2 linked regions of the Saccharomyces cerevisiae S288C genome follow. The gene in region 1 interacts genetically with each later gene. Each region holds a gene or a part of one and is shown in the gene's direction. Other genes may lie near its edges.

Region 1 (4,584 bases):
TTAGTAGACAGCGAGATGAAAACTAATCTGTGTGAGCTTCAATCAATCAATATGATTTCCCCGCATTTTGTTTGATATTTTAATTGATTCCGATTAAATCCGCTGGTAGCAGTTTTGTTTCAAACTAATTCAGCCTCCTTACTCCCCATTTCCTTATTGAACTTTGGGGATTCGGAGTTCCTTTTTTTTTCCGCCACTCCGATAACTAAACTTTGCAGTTTCACTGCTTGTTAAACATTTTCCTACTATAAATGACATTTAAAACGTAATTGAGACAAAAAAAGTTAAATCGTTATTAACTTTCACTGCGGCTCCGCTCTTTTCCTCATAAGGAAATCCCCTCTTATGATCTTGAGAAATGGGGGAATGTTGAGATAATTGTTGGGATTCCATTGTTGATAAAGGCTATAATATTAGGTATACAGAATATACTAGAAGTTCTCCTCAAGGATATAGGAATCCTCAAAATGGAATCTATATTTCTACATACTAATATTACGATTATTCCTCATTCCGTTTTATATGTTTCATTATCCTATTACATTATCAATCCTTGCACTTCAGCTTCCTCTAACTTCGATGACAGCTTCTCATAACTTATGTCATCATCTTAACACCGTATATGATAATATATTGATAATATAACTATTAGTTGATAGACGATAGTGGATTTTTATTCCAACAGATCTTGATATAAGCCCTGTCATTGATTGCAAATGCACAAATTCCGGAGATTGAACAGCCAACACAAAGATAGTATTTGGGACTTAGCGGGTTGAGAACGGTAATTATATCATGAATACTCCACTCCAAGCTTGTTTGATACATCACATTCTTGTAAAAATATATGATCCAATTCCTAGGACATCAGAAAATATATCTACTATGGGCGTGTGGCGTAGTCGGTAGCGCGCTCCCTTAGCATGGGAGAGGTCTCCGGTTCGATTCCGGACTCGTCCATTTTAAAATTTCTTTTTTTTTTTTTCTCTTTCCGTATGTAAGCTTTTTTCCTTTTTTTTTTTTTTTTTTTTTTTTTTTTCTTCACTACTTTTCAATGAAACTCTCTTCAAAAGACAGCATGCAGTAAAAGCGCCGATATGAGTGACGACGATTATATGAACAGCGATGACGACAACGACGCCGAAAAAAGATACGTAAGGCCAATTTTCGTCAGAAAGCGCAGGAGAGAAGAAGACTACGTTGCAACTAGCAAAGACAACATCCACCACCACCCATGCGATTGGTCCGCGAAACCATCGCAACGTCAAAACGAAAATGAGCAAAAAAGCACCATACGGCTTGTACCAGTGGCGATGAATACGCCGAAGTGTCAAGAGAAAAAAAAGAAAAGAAAGGGCGTTGGTACAACTAGTCATGAGGCTACGCTTTTCGAGTACGGTGAAAGCATAGCAGGCTACAAGTGTGTTACAACCGAGAGCGAAAGAGACCGCTTGAAACGAAGTCATGAAAGCGAAAGCAGCAGTGAAAGCGAGGTAGACGTTTTCGCCTTTGACCAGGCAAAAGGTATCAGCTCTAAGGTTGAAGCCGAAGAACGCTACGCGCGGGCCGTTCGACAGTATTGGCGCATGACCAAAGACGAGCCGGCTACCTTACCACTGCCAGGCACACCTACCCTAGCGGCTGTGAGTTTAGATATGATTGATGACAAAAGCGTAGAACAATTTTACACAATGAGCAGTGCCTTGATGGATGCAAACAGACTAGACTTGATTCGCCGCGATAGAATCCGGTGGCACCCGGACAAACATCGTTATCATAAGTCCAAAGTCACAAAACTGTTTCAGGCCATTAACGGCCTGTGGGAGCAAGAAAAGACCGAGAAAAGGTAATGAAAAAGTGGAACTAGACCCCACGTCAGCGGGCCTAGGCCCTTCAATGTGTTAGAATACACAGCGTGCCTAGTTCCTGGTGCCTGGATCTCGAGGCCGCGGCACTGGAAAAGCCCTTTCTTTTCCAGATCGGGAAACCTAATGAGTCCATAAAAAGAAATGTAGAGGTGGTGTTGACGTTTTGCCGCTTTTGGGCAAGTAGGTCTTTCTGCACGGCCCGGCCCGGGTCGTGCGGAAAAAGAAAAAAGCAGACAAAACAAAATTTTTCCTTTTTTTCGCCTTTGTTTCTCCTGATTCGGGTATATAAGTGAATACCATCTAATGTGTTTCCTTCTCGAGACCTCGGCGTCTCCCAGATCAAAGCTCAGCAAAGATTTTAAACCGCAATTTACGCTCCTTTCATCGGTAACTAAGAAGAAAAAAAAAAAAGTACGACCACACAATTTCCAGTGTATTCATTCCTTAAACTTCGTTTATTTTTTATTCATTCATTCATTTTTATTTGAATATAACCAACTACTAGTCCTTCCTTTAAACAAAAATTTACCCTCCCTTAATTTTTCAAGAAATTCCAGTATGAAATTATCCGCTCTATTAGCTTTATCAGCCTCCACCGCCGTCTTGGCCGCTCCAGCTGTCCACCATAGTGACAACCACCACCACAACGACAAGCGTGCCGTTGTCACCGTTACTCAGTACGTCAACGCAGACGGCGCTGTTGTTATTCCAGCTGCCACCACCGCTACCTCGGCGGCTGCTGATGGAAAGGTCGAGTCTGTTGCTGCTGCCACCACTACTTTGTCCTCGACTGCCGCCGCCGCTACTACCTCTGCCGCCGCCTCTTCTTCCTCCTCTTCCTCTTCCTCCTCTTCCTCTTCTTCCTCTGTTGGTTCTGGAGATTTTGAAGATGGTACCATTTCCTGTTCTGATTTCCCATCCGGACAAGGTGCTGTCTCCTTGGACTGGTTAGGTCTAGGCGGCTGGGCTTCCATCATGGACATGAACGGTAACACCGCCACCTCTTGTCAAGACGGATACTACTGTTCTTACGCTTGTTCTCCAGGTTACGCTAAGACCCAATGGCCTTCTGAACAACCTTCCGATGGTAGATCCGTTGGTGGTTTATACTGTAAGAACGGTAAATTATACCGTTCCAACACCGACACTAACAGTTTGTGTGTAGAAGGTCAAGGCTCTGCTCAAGCTGTTAACAAGGTCTCCGGCTCCATTGCTATCTGTGGTACCGATTATCCAGGTTCTGAAAACATGGTCGTTCCTACCGTAGTTGGCGCTGGTTCCTCCCAACCAATCAACGTCATCAAGGAGGACTCCTACTATCAATGGCAAGGTAAGAAGACCTCTGCCCAATACTACGTTAACAACGCTGGTGTCTCTGTGGAAGATGGTTGTATCTGGGGTACTGAGGGTTCCGGTGTCGGTAACTGGGCCCCAGTTGTCTTGGGTGCTGGTTACACTGATGGTATCACTTACTTGTCCATCATTCCAAACCCAAACAACAAAGAAGCACCAAACTTTAACATCAAGATCGTTGCCACCGATGGCTCTACCGTCAATGGTGCTTGCTCTTACGAAAATGGTGTCTACTCTGGCTCTGGCTCTGACGGTTGTACTGTTTCAGTTACTTCTGGTTCTGCTAACTTTGTCTTCTACTAGGCCTTTTTTCCTTGAATATTGCAAATAAGCTTTTGCTAGTACTTTTTTTACTCCGTTCATTTTATGGTTTATTTTTCAATTAGTTCGTTTTTCCACAATACAAAAAAACACAGTCCTTTGTACTATCCCTTTTATTTCATTATTTTTTCTTTTTTAAGATACCACTAGATATTATCATATATAGCATATTATATAACATAAAAAGTCAAGAAAAAAAATGTTTTTATCACTTTCTATAACTGCATATCTTTTTTTGCATTTCGAATGATTGCTTACACATCGCCATGCTGGGATTCCTCCTCTGGTGGTGAGACAAATGGACCTGCTAATTCCAATGCAGGTTCGTCAATGTTGTGGTGAGCGTATGACAAAACACCAATCCCACCGGCGTCCAGTAAGAAACATGGATTGTCTACCAAATGTCTGTAAGATTCCAATTTCACATATGGAACTGTGTCGTCATCATAAGATTTGACATTTTGAATTTCTTCAATCGTCTCACACTTCTTTTGCACACCCAGTCCAAACCAAATAGCAGCAAAATAACGCAATGCATGTCCGTGCGCAAAGACCATGATGTCTGATGCTCTGCCCTCACTCTGGTGCTTGCGGTGCAAGTTCTGGATTCTGGCAATAGCGCGGGAAAGTCTCAACCCAATTTGCTGAGTAGTCTCACCGTTCTCACACCCATCTCTCCAGATATTCCATGGCCTCTCCTTGTCCAAACCGCGTGACTTTCTCAATTCAATGATTTCTCGAGTCAGCATTCCCTCGTAGTCACCGTACTCCCACTCTCGCAAGTCGTCGTCTACCACCACACGGATCTTAGCTCTTTGCTCGTCGCTTAATGGTTTCAAAACCAAATCCACAGTTTGCCTGGCACGCAAACGTGGAGAGGTGAAGATATAAGTGATGTTGTCTGGATTCAAAAACTGATTATTGCGGAAAACACTCTCACCGGTCCTCAACATTTGGCCCTCACCGTAGGGCGTTAACGGTAGATCTGTCAAACCAGTATACTGGCCTGACTTGGACCATTCAGTTTGACCGTGTCTGACAA
Region 2 (5,253 bases), on another chromosome or scaffold:
AACTCATCCTCCTTCTTCTTTCTTGCCAGATTGTTACTCTCAGTCGTCATGATGCGACCTGTGTCGTTGTCTTCTTTATCGTCTTCCAAAAAGTCATCAATAGAAACGCTTTCATTGTTTATATCGTCATTTGTAACGTTTCGATCGGCTGCCTTATTAATATTAGTATCCAATTCCCATAATTGCTCCAAAGACTTGGCTATATCATCCAATTGAGCCCTATCATCGTTTTCAAGAATATTTCCGATAATCTGAGACGTATTATCTAGTAGTGTTTTCCTTATCTTTCTATCAAGGGCAGATAATTCAGCATCAATTTCTGCTATGTCTTCAGTTATGCTACCAGGAACAGCCCTAGATGAAAAATAACTTTCATAGTCTTTCGTGTTAGATTGTAGGATATCCTGTAGGAAATCAAGACTTAACCGTTTTTGTTCCTCTGTTAAATCATCAGAAATGAGGCTGTTTAGTATCAGCTCCATTTTACTCAATGATTATGTTTATTGTTGAAATATGTTCCCTCAAATGTCCTAACACTTCTATGATTATTTTTTCTGTGCTTCTCTTTTCAGTATGTTACTACGCTATATTTTTAGACATTGAAGCCATGATCGCGAGATCGATCTAATGTACGTATAAAAAGAAAATGGACTTCAAGAGTACAACTAACTAAAGGAAAATCCAACTCTTCCTATAAATTTAGAATTAGCATATTCAAAAAAGAAGAAACAAAGCACTCACGATGGGGGTCGAACCCATAATCTTCTGATTAGAAGTCAGACGCGTTGCCATTACGCCACGCGAGCTAAATTTCTTGAATTGTTGGGTAAACAAATATTACTAATACAAATGTTATTAGAAACCAAAAATGCACTTTTCCGGGGTTAATATATATGATTGAGTGATGGATGAAGAATGAGATAATTGTTTAAATTCTATAGTTGTCAAGCGCTGTGATACCAGATACACAAAATGTACTAGAGGTTCTCCTCGAGAATATGAAAATCCACAATAGAGAACCGATATTTCTGTGTAGGAATATTATTATTTCTTCTTTCATTTTGTATGTTCTCGTTCATTTTCCTAGCACATTATCAACCCTTTCATTTCAATTTCCATTAAAATTGGTGACTGTTTCTCAATATTTATTTGACCGTCTTATACCCAATATGGTAATATACCAGTAATATAAATACTAGTCGTTAGATGATAGTTGCTTCTTATTCCGAAAATGAGTATGGAAGTGTTGCATATGATAGGGCGGCTACAGTGATGGTAAACATAAGATACTTTAGCGGGAAATTAGCAACTGGAAGTTAAATTATCTAGACATAAGTGTGGCGGTCACGCTGAACGCAGGAGATCGGATAGATTGATAAGCTGATCAAGAACATTGATCGGTTTGTTGTTTAAAGAATGGTTTTTGAAAACGTTTGACCAGTTGCTTCTCCCAGACGCTTACCGATATGATGATAAAGATAATATCTTCAATTGAATACCCCGTGGATCAGCACGAATAACAGAAAAAAAGGGTGAAATTCACCGTAAGCATGATACGCACTACGTTCTTCTTACCTTTGCCAACGTGTTGTCTTTGACGTACGTAATTATGGGAGATCGTTGATGATTAGCCCCAGCTCACTTTCTTCTTAATGACTGACCCGCTACTATCAAAATTAAGGTGTCAAATATCATGATGAATGAGGTCTCTAGGCGACTCAATTATACATCTTTTAGAGATTTTTTTACTACTTGCAGATAATTTCTCAAGGGATTAGATTCAAATCTGGCTTGTCAATTACGCCCTTTTCAAGCTCATCAAATTGCGTATGTCATTCATGCTTCCATTAGGAACCATAGAAGCATGGCTGAAATGGCAATATACGGCTTCCCAATTTCAACTCTAAAGTAATGGCGGTCGAATTTAATCTATATTTTACAGTTTTATACGTACTTTAAAAGCAATCAGTAAACACCTCTGGTGCTATTCAAGGGTTTTTTGCCTTTATTTGTTACTGTCAATTGTCTGGCGCTGTGATAAAAAACAAGGCATAAAGCTCCCCCGTCATGAACATTAAGACTCGCTAGACGAGAGAGTGAAATATAATGCATTTCCTGATTTAAATGCGCTACAAACATGGTGTAAATCTGGCCCGGAGTGAGTGCTTGCCAATTTGGCTTCTAAGGGAGAAAGATCAAACCACTCCCAATTGCGTCATTTTGAAAGAGTGGCCACCTCGCGAGCGTCTGTCGAACTAACTGATGAATAAATATATAAGGAGAAAATCACTTCAACTTCGCTACAAGTAGTCACTATTTGTAGCAACTGTAAACGAACACATCAAAGAATAAGATTACATTCTATATCTAAGACTAAATTTTAAATGTCCGCTAAATCGTTTGAAGTCACAGATCCAGTCAATTCAAGTCTCAAAGGGTTTGCCCTTGCTAACCCCTCCATTACGCTGGTCCCTGAAGAAAAAATTCTCTTCAGAAAGACCGATTCCGACAAGATCGCATTAATTTCTGGTGGTGGTAGTGGACATGAACCTACACACGCCGGTTTCATTGGTAAGGGTATGTTGAGTGGCGCCGTGGTTGGCGAAATTTTTGCATCCCCTTCAACAAAACAGATTTTAAATGCAATCCGTTTAGTCAATGAAAATGCGTCTGGCGTTTTATTGATTGTGAAGAACTACACAGGTGATGTTTTGCATTTTGGTCTGTCCGCTGAGAGAGCAAGAGCCTTGGGTATTAACTGCCGCGTTGCTGTCATAGGTGATGATGTTGCAGTTGGCAGAGAAAAGGGTGGTATGGTTGGTAGAAGAGCATTGGCAGGTACCGTTTTGGTTCATAAGATTGTAGGTGCCTTCGCAGAAGAATATTCTAGTAAGTATGGCTTAGACGGTACAGCTAAAGTGGCTAAAATTATCAACGACAATTTGGTGACCATTGGATCTTCTTTAGACCATTGTAAAGTTCCTGGCAGGAAATTCGAAAGTGAATTAAACGAAAAACAAATGGAATTGGGTATGGGTATTCATAACGAACCTGGTGTGAAAGTTTTAGACCCTATTCCTTCTACCGAAGACTTGATCTCCAAGTATATGCTACCAAAACTATTGGATCCAAACGATAAGGATAGAGCTTTTGTAAAGTTTGATGAAGATGATGAAGTTGTCTTGTTAGTTAACAATCTCGGCGGTGTTTCTAATTTTGTTATTAGTTCTATCACTTCCAAAACTACGGATTTCTTAAAGGAAAATTACAACATAACCCCGGTTCAAACAATTGCTGGCACATTGATGACCTCCTTCAATGGTAATGGGTTCAGTATCACATTACTAAACGCCACTAAGGCTACAAAGGCTTTGCAATCTGATTTTGAGGAGATCAAATCAGTACTAGACTTGTTGAACGCATTTACGAACGCACCGGGCTGGCCAATTGCAGATTTTGAAAAGACTTCTGCCCCATCTGTTAACGATGACTTGTTACATAATGAAGTAACAGCAAAGGCCGTCGGTACCTATGACTTTGACAAGTTTGCTGAGTGGATGAAGAGTGGTGCTGAACAAGTTATCAAGAGCGAACCGCACATTACGGAACTAGACAATCAAGTTGGTGATGGTGATTGTGGTTACACTTTAGTGGCAGGAGTTAAAGGCATCACCGAAAACCTTGACAAGCTGTCGAAGGACTCATTATCTCAGGCGGTTGCCCAAATTTCAGATTTCATTGAAGGCTCAATGGGAGGTACTTCTGGTGGTTTATATTCTATTCTTTTGTCGGGTTTTTCACACGGATTAATTCAGGTTTGTAAATCAAAGGATGAACCCGTCACTAAGGAAATTGTGGCTAAGTCACTCGGAATTGCATTGGATACTTTATACAAATATACAAAGGCAAGGAAGGGATCATCCACCATGATTGATGCTTTAGAACCATTCGTTAAAGAATTTACTGCATCTAAGGATTTCAATAAGGCGGTAAAAGCTGCAGAGGAAGGTGCTAAATCCACTGCTACATTCGAGGCCAAATTTGGCAGAGCTTCGTATGTCGGCGATTCATCTCAAGTAGAAGATCCTGGTGCAGTAGGCCTATGTGAGTTTTTGAAGGGGGTTCAAAGCGCCTTGTAAGTACTTGGCTCACGAATACATATCAAGATACTTATGATATATATATATAGAAAAAGCTTACTTTTCTTGGAGTTATTGTTATTATCATCGCGAAGAACGATTGTATAACCCGGTTCAACGCGAAACGAATCGTTAAACTGGTGAAATGTTAACGCGAGTGTCAGAGATATACATAGTATGAGAGTAGCTAGATGTTGAATCGGTGGTAAGAACAAGAAGGAAATACCGTTAACAAGTGAAGGAACAATCTAGTATTGTTGAACAAGAATTATGAGTACCGACTTTGATAGAATTTACTTGAACCAATCTAAATTTAGCGGTAGATTCCGTATTGCTGATTCTGGGTTAGGGTGGAAAATTAGTACCAGTGGTGGCTCTGCAGCAAATCAGGCAAGAAAACCATTTTTATTACCAGCCACAGAATTATCTACCGTCCAATGGAGTAGGGGCTGCAGGGGTTACGACTTGAAGATAAATACCAAAAATCAAGGTGTTATCCAACTAGATGGATTTTCTCAGGATGACTATAACTTAATCAAGAATGATTTCCATCGCCGTTTTAATATTCAGGTAGAGCAAAGAGAACATTCCTTACGTGGTTGGAACTGGGGTAAGACAGACCTTGCCAGGAATGAAATGGTTTTTGCTTTAAATGGTAAACCAACTTTTGAAATTCCTTATGCTAGAATAAATAATACAAATTTGACCTCTAAAAATGAAGTAGGAATAGAATTTAATATTCAAGATGAAGAGTACCAACCAGCCGGTGACGAATTGGTAGAGATGAGGTTCTATATTCCTGGTGTTATTCAAACAAACGTCGATGAAAACATGACCAAAAAGGAAGAGTCAAGCAACGAGGTCGTACCAAAGAAAGAAGATGGTGCTGAAGGAGAAGATGTACAAATGGCAGTAGAGGAAAAGAGTATGGCAGAAGCATTCTATGAAGAACTAAAGGAAAAGGCAGACATCGGGGAAGTCGCTGGTGATGCAATAGTTTCCTTCCAAGACGTCTTTTTTACCACGCCAAGAGGTCGTTATGATATCGATATTTACAAGAACTCCATTAGACTCAGGGGTAAGACCTATGAATACAAATTGCAACATCGTCAAA

Evidence for each region.
Region 2: mutations in UTH1 (region 1) and DAK1 together harm fitness more than expected from each alone (negative genetic interaction), as found in Saccharomyces cerevisiae (2 studies listed by BioGRID).

Annotation. Positions count from the first base shown.
Region 1 is NC_001143.9:517,101-521,684, forward strand, and holds UTH1 (SUN family protein UTH1), read left to right. Parts: upstream 1-2,426; coding exon 2,427-3,524; downstream 3,525-4,584. Other genes in the region: YKR041W (uncharacterized protein), read left to right, coding at 1,098-1,850; SHB17 (sedoheptulose-bisphosphatase), read right to left, coding at 3,797-4,584. UniProt on the Saccharomyces cerevisiae protein: Involved in aging, oxidative stress response, and in the regulation of mitochondrial biogenesis.
Region 2 is NC_001145.3:131,091-136,343, forward strand, and holds DAK1 (dihydroxyacetone kinase), read left to right. Parts: upstream 1-2,384; coding exon 2,385-4,139; downstream 4,140-5,253. Other genes in the region: Golgi transport complex subunit COG8, read right to left, coding at 1-482; FACT complex subunit POB3, read left to right, coding at 4,410-5,253. UniProt on the Saccharomyces cerevisiae protein: Catalyzes both the phosphorylation of dihydroxyacetone and of glyceraldehyde.